2 linked regions of the Elephas maximus indicus genome follow. The protein of the gene in region 1 interacts with the protein of each later gene in a biochemical or structural test. Links are inferred from orthologs where the notes say so. Each region holds a gene or a part of one and is shown in the gene's direction. Other genes may lie near its edges.

Region 1 (10,279 bases):
CTCTGTGAAGTGAGTTGTTGCCAGTTGTCGTCAAGTCCATTCCAACTCATAGCGGCCCCATGCAATGAGTAGAACTGCCCCGTACTGTTACTTAACAGTTAAAATGCCCAGGGAGAAGAGAAATTGTAATAAAGGAAGCTATGTTATAGGGTCGCTATGAGTCGGAATCGACTCCACGGCACTGGGTTTTTTTTTTTTTAATGTTATCTGGTAGTTCCTCTGTCCAACAAGTGTGGTCATTAGTATACTTTCACATAAAAATTGTTAAGGAGTTGGAATCAACTCAACAGCACCTGGTTAGGAGTTGCTGGGTGGCACAAATAGCTAACTGCCGCGCCACTGACAGAAAGGTTGGTAGTTCAGACCCACTGAGATGCCTCGGAATAAAGTCCTGGTGATCTGCTTCCGAAAGGTCATAGCCATGAAAACCCTATGGAGTACAGCTCTATTCTGAAATAACATGGGATCGCCTTAAGTCGGGATCGGCTTGATGGTAACTGGTTACTGGTATTGTTGTTTTATACTGTCGAGTCGACTCCAACTCATAACAACCGCATGTGACAGAGTAGAACTGTTCCACAGGGTAGTCTAGGCCGTAATCTTTTCAGGAGCAGATCTCTAGGTCTTTCTCCTGCAGAACCTCTGAGTGGGTTTGAACTGCCAACCTTTCAGTTAGCAGCGAGCGTTTAACTGTTTGCACCACCAGCATTCCAGATTATTGATGTCCAAAAACCAAGCGTGTTGCCTTGGAGTTGGTTCTGGCTTATAGGACCCTGTAGGACAGTAAAACTGCCCCACAGGGTTTCCAAGGCTGTAATCTTTACGAAAGCAGACTGCCACATCTCTTTCCCTCAGAGTGGCTGGTGGGTTTGAACTGCCAACTTTTCAGTTAACAGCCGAGCACTTTAACCACTGTGCCACCAGGGCCCAGATTACTGGTACACAAATTATTAAATCAGTCAAGGAAACTCCATGAAAATATAACACCTAAGCTTCTTACCTGTATCCATTGCTGTCAAGTCGATTCTGACTCATAGCATCCCTGTAGGACAGAGAACTGCCCCACAGGTTTTCCAAGGAGCAGCTGGTGGATTTGAACTGTCGACTTTTTGGTTAGCAGCTGAGCTCTTAACCACTGTGCCACCAGGGCTCAGCTGACCCGGATTATAGAATGCCATCATAATAGTACCAAGAGGTGCTTTGTAGCTTATTGTCCTGGGTCAATCCAACACATGGCGATGCCAAAGACCCTTTAGAAGTTCTTTCTAAATGCACTGCAGATTCGAATACAGCTGAGTGGTCACTTGTCAGCTTGGTTGGGTCATTCTGAGTCCTTAGTTGTCGTGTACTCTCTTACCCACACTGTAAGGACAGGTCACCCTTGCACAGGCCAGAACGGAATGTGAGATGATAATAGAAATTTACATACCGTGTTCAGGGAACTTTCTAAGGTTACATGAAATGTTTATTTCTCTTTAGCTATCATCTCTGCCAATGGAAAGCTGACCCCAATGTTAAGTCTAAAACATTTATTAAGAAATACTTCATATCCACAAAACACGCACCAAGGCTGTTCCAAGGACACCTGTGAACCACCACTCATCCTAATGAAGCACCACCACGCAGACGAGCCACCACGCAGACGAGCCACCACGTAGCCCCTCTAATTGCCGCCTTGTCCCTGTCCTCCAGACGCAGTCACTGCCCGAATTTTCAGCCAAGGTTATTAAGTGCCAGAGAGGGACCAACACCCCTGTATAAAGAGCCCTCTTTATGTATTTCCCTACCGCCTGTTGACTGTTCCTTTGAAGCAACTGAGGCTAGAGACCGTCGCACTACTTTGAGCTTTTCTTTTTTTCTTTTACTAGTTCAGATTAGCAAGAGAAAGACCTGGCAATCTGCTCTTGTAAAGATTAACCCATTGCTGTGGAGTTGATTCTGACACATAGCGACCCTATAGGACAGAGCAGAACGGCCCCATAGAGTTTCCAAGGAGCGGCTGGTAGATCTGAACTGCTGACCTTTTGGTTAGCGGCGTATCACTTAACCACTGCGCTGCCAGGGCTCAGACCAGACCAGCTGCCATTGAGTCCACTCAATTCCGGGATGCAATTCCGCTGTCACATGGGGTCTCTAAGAGCTGGAAATCACTGATGGCACCTAGCAACAACAACAGCTGAGATTAAGCTGGCACCAGTGTGAGATACAAATACGACAGGCTCGGAGGCAGTGTGACAGACAGTCTACATATGGGGAACGTGAACATTCTGCGTACTACAGCTCTTGCCCTTGCCCACGGGCTGCCCCACCTCACTTTGGTTTAACCTTGCCTGAAGAACTCCAGGCAGCTGACAAACAGCCTTTCCTCGGGCCCAGGAGGCAGATGGATGATTCCCTCCTCTCAGTGAAAAACTGAAACCCCTCAATGAGGAGCGAGTAGCTCAAGGTCAAAGAGGTAGACAAAGGAAAGCAGGGAATAGCGCCAAGACTCCTGGCTCCAGAGTTTCCTCACTGCCGTTCACTGCATTGATTATCATACATTAAACAGAACCACAGCTGACAAATGCCAGCATAACCTGACAAAAGAAGGGTGAAGGGGGAGGCAAGGTGAATAAAACTCGTCAAGATCCTTTCACATCCTAAGTCAGTGGTTTGCAAATTTTGGTGTATGTCAGAGCCACCTGGGGGACTTGTTGAAGACATTGACTCCCACGGCCCACTTTAGACTGCAAACCAGCAAACACCAAACCAAACCCACTGCTGGCAGGTTGATTCCCACTCACAGTGACTCTACAGGACAGAGTAGAATTCCCCCTTTGGGTTTCCAAGGAGCGGCTGGTGGATTTGAACTGCCGAACTTTTGGTTAGCCATCGTAACTCTTAACCATTGCACTACCAGGGCTCCACCATAATTCCTACAGGGGGGCTCCATGAGATATTTTAATGCACACCTAGGTTTGAGAGTCACTGTCCTAAGCAATTCTCGTAGACTGCTTTGGAGTTCAATCTTTTGTGTGTATGTTGTGTGTAGAGGTGGGGAGGTAAGCTGGAGGCAGGGTTTAGGTTCTGTCGGTTGCCATGGAATCGCAAGATTGGGACCCCATGTGTGTCAGAGCAGAGCTGTGCTCCGTAGTTTTCAATGGCCGACTTTTCAGAAGTAGATCACCAGGGCTTTCTGTTAGCAGCTGAGCGCATTAACCCTTTGCATCACCCAGGGACTTCTTAGGTTCTAAACCAGAAAAAAGCCAAAAAACTAACCCATCGCCATTGAGTCAATTCTGACTCATAGTGGTCCCATGGGACAGAACTGCCCCATAGGGTTTCCAAGGCTATAAATCTTTATGGAAGCAGACTGTTGGGTTCAAACCACTGACTTTTCAGTTAGCAGTCAAGTGCTTAACCACTGCATCACCAGGGCCTACAGCCTTGGTAACCCTATGGGGCAGTTCTACTCCGTCCTATAGGCTTGCTATAATATGGAATCAACTTGAAGGTTTTTGTTCTGCTGTTTGCTTCTCAGGCCTGTGATCCTTTCATTTCACAATGCCACCGGCCATTTCATCTTCAGCAGTCCCCTGGAGGGTAAAGTTCAGAAAACATCCTGGACTATTTCAAACCTCCAATTCAGAAGACAGTACACTTTGAACTGAGATTTAAAAAAAAAGATTAGAAGCATACCTTATCTGCAGAGTTGGAGACCAAAAATAACCACCAAGGCCCCAGGCAGTGAAAAGGAGGCGGAGATAAAGTATATTAAGAGTAGTATGTCCAATCTGACCCATTATCATTTCAGGTTATTTAAATATATTTCATAGTTTCCTTCCTACTGCAGTTACCATAAGGTCATTTTAATAAAAAAGATACTCATTCTTTCAGAGGTAACAGCTTGCCAGAAAAGAGAACAAATCTCAGAAAAGGCCTCCCTCCACGCCTGCCTCTGAAATGCCCCATTCTGCAGCTTGGGAAGGTCACAGGTGCTAAATGACCAAAGTTCATCAAGAAACAACCCCTGCTGTGACAGGTTAAGCATTACCATGAGCCGAATACCTTACCAGGCACTTTGCATGCATAATATCTTTGAATCTTTACAAGTCTATGTGAAAGTGCTGCTATTATCTCCATTTCACAAATTGGGAATTTTAGAGGGTTTGCTACTTTGCCCAAAGTCACCAGTTATGCTTTGCGAGGAGATATCTGAATGCTTACTACCTACCGCCAAGTACTGTTCCAAACATCTTTCATATAGTAGCCCATTTAACCCTCATAATAACCTTATGAAATAGGTGTCATTGTTATGCCATTTTACAGATGAGAAAAGTAAAGCACAAAGTTGTTAAATAGCTCACTAGGCTCACACAGGGAGTTAGTGGCAACCCCAGAAGGGAATTTAGGGGGAAACCCTAGTTCTCAACTTTCAGCCTACACATCACAATCACCCGAGGGGTTGTTATTATGCAGATGGCAGGCCTTAGTTTCTGATTCGGCGGGTCTGGGGTAACACCTGAGAACCTGCATTTCTGACAAGCTCCCAGGTGATGCTGATAGTCAGGGCACCTCTGGAGTTTGCTCTCTAAATCGCTGAGCAGCATATTCTACTGGCTACCAGAAGTACACACACGCCTTTTTACTTTTTTGTTTGTTTTGTTTTTTAAATTCCTCGGGAGAACCATTTGCGATAATAATAAAAATAACTCCTAGAATTTCAGAGGTGACTTCCTATGAAGTGAACAATAGCTTTTTGCTAGTCAAGTCCTGTAAGGACACTCATTTGCCCTTTAACTAGGTACTGGGGGACGGTGCGTTTTCTGTTCTTTAACTTTCTTCGCGGAATCGGGACGTGGACGTGGCTGGGCCACGTGCGCGGGGATGCAGCCCGCAGGTCCCGCCAACCTAGGCCGCCCTCAGACTTGGGGCAACCGAGTGACCAAGGGCGGCGTCATCCCGAGACGGAGACGGCACAGCAGCTCCCCCGTGGCTGCCCGCCACTCCAGGCTTATTTAGGTTTTCTCGATTCCCTCTGTTCACTGTGGACAGGCTCACACCTTACATCTACCCTCAGGAGAGGAACCAAACTCTGCCAAGTTCTCTCCAAGGGCAAAGGCCGGGCAGCGGCCAGGGCAGATCTTTAAGATGGAGACTCGACGAGCGCGCCCTCCCGACCCGCGGCCATCTTGCGCCCAGGGCGCTCCTCGTGGTCGGCCGGGAAGGGCGCGGTCCCCCACACACCCGCCCCGCCGGGCTCTCCGGGCCGGGCTCTCCGGGCCGGGCTCTCCGGACCGCGCTGCTGCCCGGGCGGGAGTGGCTCGTGCCGCCGCAGGTGTGGTGGGCTGGTATCGGGGGCGCCGCTGCGAGCGCCAGGGTCGTCCCCGGAGCCGAACCCCGGGCTGGGCCGCCCCCCACTGGGCTGCCTGCGGCTTCTGGGGGGCTTTCTTGGGGGCCACACCGCTGGCCTGTTCACCGGCCCGCCGAGCGCCGAGCTGCCGTGGCCTTCCTTCCGGAAAAGGGCGGTCGCGCAGGAAAGGGGTCCTCCGAAGCGCGGCGGCGGCAGCGGTGGTTTTAGCCCCGGGACAAACAGTTGCTACACAAAGTGAAACTTGCTGCGGGCGCCTTACCACCGCTTCCGCCGAGCCCGGGGACTCTGGGGCCCGCCCGTCCGCGTTCCCCTGGGGGACTCTCGGGCCCACCCCACGGCCCTTTCCGGAGCGACCCGGCGCCCCCGTCCCGGTTCCCATGCGCCCCGCCCCCTGGCTGATCCCACGGCCTTCCCCAGAGCGACCCGACCGCCCTCTCACGTCCCCGAGCGACCCGCTTCGCGCGCGCTCTGCCCTACCGGGCGCAGAGACCCTCGAGACCCTCCCCGGAGCGACGCGGCGACCCCTCCCCGGTCCGCGTGCGCCTCCACTTCCCGCGCTCCCCGCCTCTGCCGGCGGGCGAGGCCCCTTCGGCCGATCCCAGGGCTCTCCTCGGAGCGACGCGGCCGCCCCTCTCCCGGTCCTCGTGCGCCCCCTCTCCCCGCGCTACCCCCCTGGGCGCCGAACCCCCCCCCCCACCACGGCCCACCCCAGGGCGGCGCGGCTCCACTTGCCGTGCCCCGGAACACCGAGACTCCCACAGCGCTCCCCGGCGCCCCCTCCGAGCCCCCGTGCGCCTCCGTTTCCCGCGCTCCCCGCCCTGGGGCGCCGAGACCCCCCCACGGCCCACCCCGGAGCGGCGCGGCCGCCCCCCTCCCGGTCCCCGCGCGTCTCCACTTCCCGTGCCCCGGAACACCGGGACTCCCGCAGGCTCCCCGGCGCCCCCTCCCAGCCCCGTGCGCCCCCGTTTCCCGCGCTCCCCGCCCCCCGGCTCCGAGGCCCGGCCCCGCCCCGGCCGCAGGCCCCGCCCCGCCCCGCCCCGCCCGGCCGCGGTAATTGCAGGTTGGGCTGTGACTCACCGGGGCCCGCCCGGCCGGTTCTTAAGCGGCGGCGCGCGGGGCGGCCGGGGTCTCGGTGCGCCGCGGAGCAGCCTGCTGTCCTGCGCCTCACCGCTTCCTCGCACTCCAGGTCGGCGGGTCCCTTCGGCTGCTGCGACTGAGAGTTGTGTTTCCGAGGGATTGAGGAGAACCTCCCGGGAACCGAAAATGCCGAAACCAGTAAGTGGCCCGGTGCCAGCGCTGGGCTGGGTGCGGCCGGCGTATCTTCGAGGGGAGCGAGTTACCTGGACGCGCGTGGGGCTGCTACCTGTAGGACAGGGCTCGCTTCCAAACGGAGGGAGGACGGCGACGGGGACTTGGCCCCTCTTTGTTATCTGCTGACTCTTTTGTGGGCTGTGATGCCTTTCTTTCTACAGTCTTTCTTTGTGAACCATCTTCCCTCCCTCCCCGGTTACGGTCTTTTGAAAAAATTAGAATTTCCACTTTTACACGGCTTCAGTGTGTTTTAAAAGTGTTTTCGAATGCAATTTTGAAGCTTCTTAAAAAAAGAAAAGCTGTCTGGATCGCAGCAAGAGCTCCGGACGACGGATAGGAACTCCCAGTTCCTTCTAGCGTCCGAAAGCGAACGTAACCCAGACTTCCCTTGAAATTCGAACGGCGCCAGGGAGAGGGGACACGCCTTTCTGGCCCGCAGTGTCGCCCCAGTCCGTTTTACCCAAGCTGCGTTCTGTGGACGGGAATTTGCTGGGGGCAGCAGGACTCCGTCTCTGGCGGAGGCTTAGTAATGGGCTTGACTTGCAGATGAAGGCGGCCGGTGGAGTTTGGTCCGGTGGCCCCCTGGGCCTCTCCGGCCTCGCACTCCTGGTCAACATCAGCTGATTACGGCACTGCTGAACCCTGCTGCTCTGTTCGCTTTAATCTGATTTGTGCTCAGGTCCGGGGTTAGATCGGGGACCAGGTGTGGAGCGTTAGGCTTTCTTTTAAATTGTGGGAACAGCCAGGCTCTTTGGGACTGACTCGTTTTAGAAAGCTGTATCCACTTGCTTTAACACAGGTGAACTGGCCAGGAGACACTGAGGAAAGGGCTTAAAATGTTTTGGTTGAATTTGAATAACAATGGAGAAAATAAACTTCGGTCATTACAATTTGAAATAAAAGGTAAATAGGGAGTTTATTGCTAGTTTTTCAAACAAGTTAATTCTATAATCATCATACTTAGGTACTTTTTAGATTCCCCAAAAGCAGTTCTTTTACTGTTACATTTATTTTATTGGTGTTAATGGATACAGAAGGCAATGCTGTTTTCGCCTACGTTACATCGTCAAGTTGATTCATTCATGAAGATTTTTTTTTCTCCTACACAAAATTCTTCTTTTCATTTCAGACTTGCAGGAGGCACACACCACCCAGGCTTTGCGCTGTCAATGATATAAAACCCCCTTCCTCAGGGCCCAGCTCAGGAAGCACGTGATTCAGAGGAGTCAAGAGATCATTGTTTTGACTGTGGTTTTCTTTATTTAAAATAGAGATGAAGAGCTTAGCTTTTAAGATATCACTCAGGAAAATCCACAAACCTGTTTCCTGTCACTACGGTTCTTATTTCTTAGGATGAACGGTAATTTTTTTAATCTTTATTTTTTGTTAGGTATGTTTTAATTTCGGTTTGTTTAGAAAATTTTTTTATAATGAATCAGAAACTTAGCAAAAGTTCTGATAAACTGAGAATAGTTCTCGAGTTGCTAAGGAGGACGGGGCCGTCACCTTGCATGCGGGAATCTGAATAGCCAGGGTAGCTTTTTGAGACACTCTATTTTGTATAATATTGAAAAATTAGAAATAGCAGATGTTTTTGAGAAGTCAGTAAAAGGCCAGCTCCACCTGTTTGCAGTAGGAAATTCCTGCCTGCCGCCTTTTTGGCAGGGGAAGGTCTTGGAGATTTTGCCTGGTAAGAGAAACACACTTATTAAGCCTTTCTTTGTGTGATGCGTATTAGGGCCATCCCACAGATCACTGAGAAATGCTTAGTGGCCTTCAAACATATGCGTATAGTGCCTCTCAGGTGCTGTTATAGAGCATCTAGTTTGTTTGTTTTTCTGCCTCAGTAAATGTGAAATCCAACGCTTCCACCAGGTTCCGTAGATGTGTTCTTTAAACACATCTTTGAAGGTTCTTGATTCTAACTGTTCAAGCCCAAACTAAGAATTTTGTTAGGAGTCTTCAGTATGACTTGATGTTTAACAGCCCAGTTACCTATAAAGATGGAGACATCCGACTTACTGGGATTTTGCATTCCTTACAATCATTAACCTGTGAAGAATTCATCAGGCAGAGTAATCTTGGTTGCTTTGTCTAAACTGAGTCAGCCGACAGTGTTACCCAAAAAGCGGTATAAATGAGATACTGATTCGCTGTGCGTCCTCTTCATACTGCTTCTTGAGTCACCACTTGTTAAAAAAAGTGAGTGTTCATTCACTCGGCAAACACCTGCGGGCAGGTAACCTGCAGGTGGATGAGCCGGATTCATGGCCCCAGGGAAGCTTTCCAGTCTGGTTTTTAACCCAAGACACACACAAATGTTGAAATAGAAACTGGAAAACTTGGCAAAGTGCCCTAAAACAGTGCCCTCAACAGTCAGTGGCCTGATGGGGAGGACCAAAGAAAAGTAGTATGGCAGCCGCGGCTTGCACGGCTTGCACTAGAGCCGTGGGCGGCCTGATCAGCCAGGCCCTCCAAGGGGGGGGGGCACACCTGTGTATGGCTGGCCCTGGCTGGTTTTGCTTTTCCCACAGCTGCCTGGGGCTCATTCATGGGCAGCTGGTAGACTTCCAGGAAGAGTGATTTGGGGGTCTCAGGGCACAGTGCCAGGAGCTGGTTCAGGAAACAATCTCTGTCCTAAGGATTAGGGTGAGTGTGGAGTACCTCCTCCCTCCTTCCTTTCCCCCACACTTGCTTTCTTCATTGTTATAGGAGACACGGGCCATTAGAAAGACATGGGACGTTGGAAAACCCCTGCCATCAAGCCCAGCAGTGAAAAGGGCGTTGCCTTCGAGGCCTGTGATCAGCTTAGCGGGCTGAGCCTTATTCAGGTGGTAGAAACAGAAGCCTTAGTGGTCCTTTCTACAGTGGTTCCATACTTGTTTCTAACGCAAAAGTGGATCTACCCTTCATTAAGACAACTGTGAAAGTGTGTTCAAAATTCTGTGTAAACTGAGACAATCACCTCTGAGATTCCCTTCCTCTCTGAGAGTACACGGCCTCTTCCATGGTGGAAAAGGTAATCCACTGTGCTGAATGTTTTTGCAGGACAGAATTTGATGATATGTTTTCCATGGGCCCCACCTGTTGAGATGGGTGCACAGGGTCTGTTTTCTGCACCCCCGTCCTCCTTCACCATGGGTGGTAGGTGATTTCGGGAGCTAAGGTTGGGCCCTGTGGGGCGAGAAATGCTGGCTGGGAGTGTGGTCACTTGCCGTTGTCACACTGTAGGGCAGGAGGATGAGTCTGATTGCCCACTCATCTGCGAGCTTGGCAACATTTAACGTGCTGGTCCTTGTTCTGGGTGTTGACGGCACCGACGTGCACAGACACAGAAATTGTCTCTGCCGCCCTGGATTAACAGTTTGGGAGGGAGGCAGGCAGTTGTCACAGAGTTAACATAGAACTGCAGCTCTGGAAAGTTGCCTCATGACAGGTACACTGGTGCTGTGGGAGTATCTACAAGGGTGTGTGTGTGGTTGGGGGCGGGGCAGGGGTCCTTATCAGAGAAGTCAGCAGAGGCCCGCCTGAGCAAGGGACGATTGTGCAGAACAATGCAGAGAATGAAGGGGTGGTCTCTGGGTGAAAGGGGAGCAGAGGACGCACCAGGCTGCG
Region 2 (9,733 bases), on another chromosome or scaffold:
ATCCCCAGAAGCAACCAATGTCTTCAGGTTTCCTATGTTTGCTTCCAGAGATCTTTTATGCAGATACAAGGAACTCTGCATATATGTTATATGCTTTCCCATCTTTTGCAAAAATCGCATGCTCTACCATACAGAGCTTCTACTCTGTATCTTGCTTTTTTTGTTTGTTTTATATAATAGATCCTGGAGATAGTTCCATGTACCAAGGCATCCAGAAGGTCTTCATTCTGTTTTATGATGATTGTGTAGTAGGTCTCTGGGTGGTGCAGTTTGTGCTTGACTACTAAACTAAAGGTTGTCAGTTCAGATCCACCCAGTGGCACTGTGGAAGAAAGGCCTGGCAATCTGCTTCTATAAAGATTACAACCAAGAAGAACCTATGGAGCAGTTCTCTGTAACACATGAGTTGCCATGAGTCAGAACTGACTTGATGGCAATGGCTTTGTTTTTTGTTTTTTTGTGGCCCATTGCTTAAGTGTTAACAACGTTTGTCCCCAACTGGTATTCTTGTAGGACCCCTAGTGGTGCGGTGGTTAAGAACTCAGCCGCTAACCAAAAGGTTGGCAGTTCGAATCCACCAGCCACTCCTTGGAAACCCTATGGGGCAGTTCTACTCTGTGCTTTAGGGTCGTTATGAGTCAGGATCGACTCGACAGCAACGGGTTTGGTTTTTTGGTTTTGGTGTTCTTGTAGTTCGATTCCAACCCTTCCCGTTCCTATAATGCTGCTGCAGTGAGTGACTGTCTCACCCATGTGCAAGGGGACCCTAGGATGTATATTCAGCCGTGGAGTGGCAGGTTGCAGGGTCTGGGCCTGGTAATTTTGAAAGAGGCTGCCACTATGTTTGAATAGTTTATAGAACCGTTCTCTCCTCATTCTTTTTTCAAAATTATCTTGACTTAATCTTGCGTAGTTATCTTTTTTTTTTTGAACATTTTCTTATGGACGTTTTAAAGCATATTCAAAACTAGAGACATTAAGATAACCTGTACTTAGCTGTCACCCAGCTTCACCAGTTTCCAAAGCCCATGGCCAGTCTAGTTTCAGTGTTGCCGCTACCCCAGCCCCTGACACCGGATAATTTTGAAGCAAATCGCAGACATCGTTTCACCTGTAAAAACCTCAATATGTATCTCAAAAAGATAATGACTGAAACAACCACAGTATCATATCATTATCAACCTAAAATTAATAATAATTCCTCAGCATCATTGTATGGCCTCTTAGTATTCAAACTTCTCCAATTGTCTCTTAAATATTTGTTATTTGTTTATTTGTTTACAGTTTGTTCGAATAAGGATCCAAGGTCCACATGCTGCATCATTAAATTCCAGGTTCCCGTCCTCTTTTTTCCTCTCTGGCAACATATTTGAAGAAAAAACCAGGTTGTTTGTCTGGTAGACTGCTATCTTCGCGGTGGCTTATCGAGTTCCTCTGAGATTCCTGTGAAGTCTTGGTCAGATTCAGTTTCACTTTTGGGGGGAGACCTCTCCGCAGGAGGCATTGTGCTTTCTCAGCAGGGGGCACAGGGGGTCCGGCTGACACTCCTTTTGTGACATGAACAGCCTCGGGGCTCTATGCCCTGATCCATCAGGATGCAATTTTTACTTTCCAAATGTTCAAACATACAGGAAAGTTGAAAGAATTGCACAGTGACCACCACTGGATTCCACAATTAATATGCTGTTAAATTTGCTGCTAACTGAAAAGTTGGAGGTTTGAGTCCAGCCAGAGGCACCTCAGAAGAAAGGCCTGGTGATCTACTTTGAAAAACTCAGACATTGAGAACCCTACCGAGCACAGTTCTACTCTGATACATGTGGGGTCACCAGGAGTCGGGGTTGACTTGACAGCAAGTGGTTAAATTTGCTTTAGCATACTGCATCTCTCCATCTCTCCATTCCTCCACCCCCCTCATGTTTTGAGTGCAAATCAAAATAGGTGGATGTAATTGTTTTTAATATGGCTTTTCCCGTGAAATATCCTGCTAGAGTTTCAACAGGATTGCAAGCCCTGATGTCTTTGCAGTTTTGAGCAGTATTTCCCCACCTGAAGGGGTCCTCAGAAATTCACAAGATGAGAGGTGTCACTGTCAGGACTTGTCTGCTTAATCTTCCAACTCCCTGTGCCTCCTCGGGCAAGTCACGCCACTTTTCTGAACTTGTTGCCTCAGCTGTAAAATGGAGAAAACCAGGGGCCTCGTGGGCTTAGGGCGAGGGTTAGATATATGCTGGGCAGTGTGCTGAGCTCTGTACATGTATTAAAGTGCTCAGTGATCACACCACTCCAGAAGGGAGCACTGTGATTGCCATGTTACCATTGAGGAGATGGCAAACACGGCTCAGGCTTGAGCCCAGTCAGCCCTGTGAGCCCCGTGAGGCGGTCCCACCCCCACTGCTGTGGACAACAGGGTGCAGTTGTGAGGCCACAGACTCTGCATTAGGTCCTTGTGTGCTGGTTCAGCTCACTGGCTGCTCCTGGCATCTCTAGAAGGTCGTTTTTAGTTATCCTAGAGCTGGCTCCAACCCATGGTGACCCCATGTACAACAGAACGAAGTGTTGCCCAGACCTTCGTCATCTTTGCGGTCGGTGTGCTCAAATCCATTATTGTGGCCGCTGTGTATTTTAAGTGCCTTCCAATCTAGGGGCTCATCTTCCAGCGCTATGTCATACGATGTTCTGTTGCGATCTATAGGGTTTTCATTGGCTAATTTTCAGAAGTAGATCGCCAGGGCTTTTTTTCTAGTCTGTCTTAGGCCGAAATGCTCCACTGAAACCGGTCCACCATAGGTGACCCTGCTGGTACTTGAGATACTGGTGGTGTAGTTTCCAGCATCACAGCAACACACACAAGCCACTACAGTATGACAACCTGACTGACAGGTGGCAGTCTAGAAGGTGGGGGCTCTGGACATGCCCACTTCACAGATGAGGAAGTTCAGGGTGGGACAGTTCCAACACGGTGTGATACAATAGCAGATACTTCATATCTTTCCTGGGCTGGGGAGCACCCTCTCCTCCCACCTGTCTCAAGCTCAGACATTGGCCTTTCACGTTCTAGGGTCCTGTTTTCCCACCCAGGTGGGGCAGTCATCACTCATGTCTTCCAGAGACTTGGTGGCCACTGCCACCACACTTCTTCCTGGGCTCCCCGCTTCTCTCTTCACTCCCTCTTGGCCCAAGGGACCAAGCCCCTGGCAAGATCTACCCCCCACAGGGCAGGGTTGGGAGCAGGGAGGGCACAGACATCGCCTGTCTCCTTTGCCAAGGGACATCTGTTCTTTGTGAATCACCTATTAGGGCAACATCCCGGAGTTCACAGAAGCCTGCGAGGGTCCCACAAAAGGATTTCAGGGGTCACAAGACCCCCAACCCATGTACCAAATTTCTGTGTGTGTCCATCCAACAAATATTCATTGAGAACCTACTGTGTGCCAGACACGGTTCTAGTCACTGGGGTACAGCAGTGAGCTAGGCAAAGATTTCCGCCCTTATATTCTAGGTGGGAGAGGCATTCAAGGGGCAGTAAGAAAAAAAAAAAAGGGGTTAGTAAATTATAAGTATGTTAGAAAGTGATGAAAGAAAAAACAGTAAATTATAAATATGTTAGAAGGTGATGATTTATGGGGACAAAAGGTAAAGCCTAAGGCTGAGTGACAGTTGTAAAATGGGTGACCAGGTGTGGTGAAACGAATTCCTGTATATGGCCTTTTACCTTGGTTCTTTGAAAAAACAGCTTGAGATTTTTTTCCCCGTAAGGCCTGAGGGGTTATCTTTGTCCTAGTTTTCTACCCCAGAGGGTTTGTTACTTTTGTCCAGGTTGATTGATATTTCCTGGGTAAATTGTGAATAACTTGATTTGATACTTTTGGTCTGGTCCTGGGCTGCAGCCTGCCCTGTGATTGGTATGCACCTTGCAGGGATTTGTTGATAGACTATGCAAATGAGAGGAGGTGTAGCCTACTATGCAAATGAAGTGTCTGAGGCCTACTGAGAGGGGATTGGTCAGCTTGTGCCCACCCCCATTGGGAGGGGCCATGCCTTGAAATTGACAAGCAGTTGTGTATATAAGCAGCCAGCACCACAGAGGTTTTTGAGATAGAAGCAGGAAGAAAAGCAGCAGAGAGAAGAGACAAGGAACCTCCTAAAAGGGCTGTAACCCAGGTCAAGAGCCATAACATTAAAGACAGCAAGGGACCCAGTGGCAGGGCCAGGAGCGACAGGCCCAGCTTGGGCCCATGGCAGAGTGGGCAGTAATGGATGGCAAGGCCAAGAGGAGCCTGTCCTACCGAGAGGAGCTGAGAGAGCTGTCCTGCACTGAAGAAGGGGACTCTGCCTACATGCTTCCTGATCCTGAGTTGTAGTCTGTTACTTCCTGAATAGACCACTTAACTATGCTCTTTGAGTTCTGTGTGGCCACTGCAACAGATTATCAAGCCCAGAAGAGAAGTAGAGTGCTGTGGGAGGAGTGGTTGGTGTCAGAATCGGTAAAAAGGCTGGAGAGTGGAGGTATGTTTGGTCTCCAGCTCATAGTGATCAGCCTTGGGCTGATCTTGAATTGCATTGTCCTCCCTGAAGTTAGACAGGTTCTGATGCTGCTACTGATACTGCTACTAGTACTACTACTGCCCCCATTTTACACCTGGGAAGGCCTCACCTGAGTAGATGGAGGTGAGGGAGGAGCCATGTCCCCCCGTGTAAATATAGAGTGGTCCAGGCAGAAGGAACATCATGTGCGAAGGCCCGGAGAGGGGACTGTTCTGGGTGAGTGGTGTGGTCTTGAGGCACAGCAGAGAGGCCAGTGTGGCTGGAGCAGAAAGAGGAGAGGAAGCTGGGAGGAGCTAAGGGCAGAGGGGTCCTGAGCAAACAAAAGGAGCAGCTAGGCCCAGGCAAGGAGTCTGGAGGATGTGAAACAGAGGGAATGACGGGATTTGATTTGCCTTTTGAGTTGGTCTCTCAAGAACTGTGGCAAGCGGATCTTTTGGGGGACAGAGCAGCAGCAGAGAGACTTAGTTGGTGGGATCTCCAAGCAAGAAGGGGCGGGTGCTATGGCCTTAGGGATGGGGAAAATAGATGAATACCAGGCACGGCACTATCAAGGCCCTCAACAAGGTCTCTCTTATAGAACTGGGATAGAGGCACAGGAAGTGAGGAGGCTGGTGGAGAGCTGAGAGAGGCAGAGAAGGAGAGAGGGCAGGGCCGGGGGGAGGGGAGGGGAGGAGAAAGGGCAGAGCACTTTTCTTGGAGTGAAGAAACAAGCTGGAGGGGCAAAGGCAGGGTGCAGGACAGGGGTAAAAGCCAGTTACAAGTGGCATCTTCAAGACAGTGGCCCAGGACTCGTTCCTAAGACACCTGCCTTGGCACTGCCTGCAGGGAGTGGGAGATCCTCAAGATCTTCAAAGGTAAAGGACCTTCAGGGGCCATGGCCTTGCTCAGGGTCAGCACAGGGCCTGGCATCTAGTAAGCGCTCAATAAATGTGGGTTCTGTTCATTTTTATGGCATCTCTCATCCTAGGGGTTCCTCACTGTCACCCCCAAATTCTTTATTTGCCCCCCAGAATGTTAAAATTTCACACTAACTTCTTGAGGCTATGCTTAAAAGTCTCCCATTGTCACCCCCTTTGAAAGTTTGCCTTGAAATCCCACCTAGCGCCTCGAGGACAGTGCCCAGAGGGCCCCCCCCGCATTAACTTCCCTTTCTAAGGACCAATCACCATCTCACCCAGTTCTGAAGGAAGGTGTCTCATCACCCCCGCCTCCCCGCAGGGTCCCTGTTGGTGAAAACAAAGGAAACCAGTTGTGTTAGCACTTCCTGTGGGTTCACCTGGGAGCCAGCAGTGCAGCTAAGGTCTGCCCTGTCAGAGACTTGCCAGTGCCCAGCGACCCCACCCCCACCCCCGGGGCTTCTTGGGCCCCGCACCTGCCGAGGTAGCCCACTCTGGGGCCACAGAGAATCCCCCTGCCCCTCCCTGGGCCTGGCCACAGTGCAGCCCCTGGCTTCTGCCATCCTAACCGCCATTTCCGTTCCCTGGGTGACCTACCCACCCCCTGCACTGCTGGCACCTCATCAGGGCACCTTTTCCCCAAAGACTGACCACCATGGTGCCCTTGGCACCACTGCTCCAGGCCTGCCTGTCTCTGCTCATCCTCCTGCTGCTGGTCTGCTGCCTGCTGCCCCCAGGTGAGTGCCTAGGGTTGGGGGGACTAGTAGGTTGGGGGCGGGGAACGGAGAAAGCACAGCTGCCCACATCCTGCTGGTCTGGTTGCTGTGCGCCTTTCTGGGAACTCGAATCTGATCGGAGCTCCTCCATGTCCTCTGGAGAAAGTCGGGCTCCTTAACTGGGCTTCAGGGATCCCCACAGCCCGGTCCTCTTGTGTGACTTGTGCTACACACGCACACTCTCCATGAGCCATCAGGACCCCCAGCCCTTTGCGTATGCTATTCCCTCTGCCAGGAACACTTTTCCCTTCTACATGGCTAACTCCTATCCACCTTTCAGAGCTGGCTGTAGGTGTCTGTTCCTCCAGGAAGCCTCCTGTAACCCACTCTCTCCTTTAGGGTGGATCAGGGCCTCCCTCGGAATTCTCCCCGTTTTTTTTTCTGGTCATCTGTCTTCCCCACCAGACTGCTTCCCCTCATATCCCAGCATGAAGAGGGGGCCTGCAGAGGGGTGGGTTGGGGGATACTGGAACAGCCACCTGAGCTTCCTCATGCCCCCGCAGGTGCCCAGGGGCAGGTGTCCCCCCTGCGGGTGGAGCCCCAGAACCCAGTGGTGCCCACTGGAGGGTCGCTCCTGGTGAACTGCAGTGCTGACTGCCCGGATCCTGAAAATATCATCCTGGAGACGGCCCTGTCCAAGCAGCCAGTGGGCAGTGGACTGAGCTGGTCAGCCTTCCAGCTCAGCAATGTGACTGGTGACAGCGACATTATCTGTGCTGGGTTCTGCAATGGCTCCCAGATTAGTGGCTCTACCAGCATCACCGTGTACCGTGAGTGGACGGGGCTGGCGACTGGCAGCGGGCAGCAGTTGGGGGCTGAGTTTGCAGGAATGGACCAGGGCTCTGACCCAGGGCTGGACCTGGACGTGTGTGTGTGTGTGTGTGTGTGTGTGTGTGTGTGTGTGTGAGAAAAACAGAAAGACAAACACATACAGACATACATCTCAACCTTTTGCCAGGGGCCCAGTTGTGAAATCAATTTATTTGGGTCCCAATGAGCAATTTTTAAAACGTTATCTCATGTCTTTTATTTATTACTTTTATTCTGATGGTAGGTAAAAATTAATGTGGTTCAAAACCCAAGAAATATAAAAAGATGTAAAGTAAAAATTGTCATTTGCCTAGCACTCACTGCATATGGGCATTATCTTAAGGGCTTGACACCTATTTGTTCATTCAATCCTCACAAAAGCCCTGGGAGGTAGGTGCAGTGATAAGCCCCATTTCACAGACAGGGAAACTGAGGCTCAGTGGGGTGAAGTCACTTGCCAGTGGCAGTCCAGCATCCAAGTTTCTGCTCTTAACAGGTAGTCTTTCTTCCCAGAACTTCTATCCCTGTTACCAGTGTTTTAGACATCCTTTCAGAGTTTCTCTGCATTTTAAAAAATAGAACAGACTAGAAAATAACAGACGATGTCACACATAGTGACTACTATTTTGTGAAGGCTTTGTAAGTGAATGTAGTGTACCTGTCTGAGATTATGAATATGCCCGTGAGTTTGTGTGTGTGTGTGTCGGGATCTGTGTGGCAGTTTTTCATGTACTTACGTGTTTGTCCCTGAGCCTATGTATCTGTGTATGTCAGTATTCGTGCGTGTCCGTGTGAACGGACATATATATCTGTGTTAGTGTCTGTCTGTACGGGTGTCTGTGTCTCTGTGTTTGTGTGTGCCTACAGCTGTGTGTGCCTGTGTGTACGTGTCTATCTCTGCATGTGCTGTCTGTGAATATATATGTCTGCAGATCAGTATCTGTGTGTATGTGTCTCTGTTGTTGTTGCTGTCAGGTGCCCATGAGTCAGTGACTCTACATACAACAGAACGAAACACTTCCTGGTCTCGCGCCATCCTCAAAAGCATTGCTGTGTTTGAGCCCACTGTGACAGCCATCGAGTCAATCCATCTCCCTGAGGGTTTTCCTCTTTTTTGCTGACCCTCTACTTTACCAAGCATGATGTCCTTCTCCAGGGACAGGTCCCTCCTGATAACATGTCCAAAGTACATGAGATGAAGTCTCACCATCCTTCTTTCCAAGGAGCATTCTGGCTGTACTTCTTCCAAGACAAATTTGTTCTTCTGGCAGTCCATGGTATATTCAATATTCTTTGCCAACATCATAATTGAAAGGCAGCAATTCTTCTTCGGTCTTCTTTATTCATTGTGTAGCTTCCACATGCACATGAGGTGATTGAAAATACCACGGCTTGGGTCAGCTGCACCTTAGTCCTCATCTAAGGCTGGGTTCTCTAGAGACACAAAACCAGTGAAGTGTATAAATATATATATAGAGAGAGATTTATATCAAGGAAGTGGCTTATGTGGTTGTAGAGACTGGAATGTCCCAAGTCTGTGGGTCAGGAGGCTTCTCCTGATTCACATAGCCGCAGTGCCTGGAGAACCCAAGATTGGTAGGTCAGAGAGCAGGGCTGTTGCTCACAGGCTGTGAAGACTGACGAATCCTGAGATCGGCAGGCAAGACCACAGGTAAGATGCTAGCTTAAGTCCCAAGGACCAGAGGCCAGATGAGCAGGAGCCACCTGCAGGAGCCAGCTGCAGGATCCAGAGAGAGTAAAAGCCCACCAGAATGTCCCTTGTCAGAACGTCCACTTATATTCGATGCAGGCCACACGCCCAAGGAAACTCCCTTTCAACTGACTGCTCACAGCAGATCCCATCATGGGGGTGATCACATTATATCAAATCTCAACATGGAAGTGATCACAACATCATACGATTGCCAAACCACTGAGAATCATGGCCCAGCCAAGTTGACACACAATCTTAACCATCACAGTCCTTAAAGTAACATCTTTGCTTTTTAACACTTTAAAGAGGTCTCTTGCAGCAGATATTTCCAATGAAATACGTCCTTTGATTTCTTGACTGCTGCTTCCATGGGCATTGATTGTGGATCCCAGTAAACTGATATCCTTGACAATACTTTCTTTTTATCAAGATGTTGCTTATTGGTCCAGTTGTAAAGATTTTTGTTTTATGTTGAGGTATAATCTATACTGAAGGCTGTAGACTTTGATCTTCATCAGTGTTTCAAATCCTCATTGTGTCCTGGAACAGAAGAGTCTGAAACTTGCTCTTGAACATAGAGTAGCTAAAGCTAATGGAAGAAATGAAGTAAAAGAGATGAACAGAAGATTTCAAAGGGTGGCTTGAAAAGACAAAGTATTATAATGACATGTGCAAAGACCCAGAGTTAGAAAACCAAAAGGGAACAACACTCTCAGCATTTCTCAAGCTGAAAGAATTGATGAAAAAATTCAAGCCTTGAGTAGCAGTATTGAAGGATTCTACAGAGAAAACATTGAATTGCACAGGAAGTATCAAAAGAACATGGAAAGAATACACAGTCACTGTACCAAAATAAATTGGTTGATGTTCAACCATTTCAGGAGATAGCATATGATCAAATACCAGTAGTACAGGAGGAAGAAGTCCAAGCTGTACTGAGGGCACTGATAAAAAACAAGGATCCAGGAATTGACGGAATACCAATTGAG

Evidence for each region. The genes of interacting proteins can lie anywhere in the genome.
Region 2: the proteins of EZR (region 1) and ICAM3 form a complex in vitro, tested with the Homo sapiens proteins (2 studies listed by BioGRID). The link is inferred for Elephas maximus indicus from reciprocal best matches to the Homo sapiens genes EZR and ICAM3.

Annotation. Positions count from the first base shown.
Region 1 is NC_064819.1:231,085,698-231,095,976, reverse strand, and holds the start of EZR (ezrin), read left to right. Parts: upstream 1-6,428; 5' UTR 6,429-6,616; coding exon 6,617-6,628; intron 6,629-10,279. Other genes in the region: translation initiation factor IF-2-like, read right to left, coding at 5,037-5,732. UniProt on the Homo sapiens protein: Probably involved in connections of major cytoskeletal structures to the plasma membrane. In epithelial cells, required for the formation of microvilli and membrane ruffles on the apical pole. Along with PLEKHG6, required for normal macropinocytosis.
Region 2 is NC_064821.1:28,442,020-28,451,752, reverse strand, and holds the start of ICAM3 (intercellular adhesion molecule 3), read left to right. Parts: upstream 1-5,254; 5' UTR 5,255-6,099; coding exon 6,100-6,181; intron 6,182-6,723; coding exon 6,724-6,990; intron 6,991-6,996; exon of another isoform or gene 6,997-9,733. UniProt on the Homo sapiens protein: ICAM proteins are ligands for the leukocyte adhesion protein LFA-1 (integrin alpha-L/beta-2). ICAM3 is also a ligand for integrin alpha-D/beta-2. In association with integrin alpha-L/beta-2, contributes to apoptotic neutrophil phagocytosis by macrophages.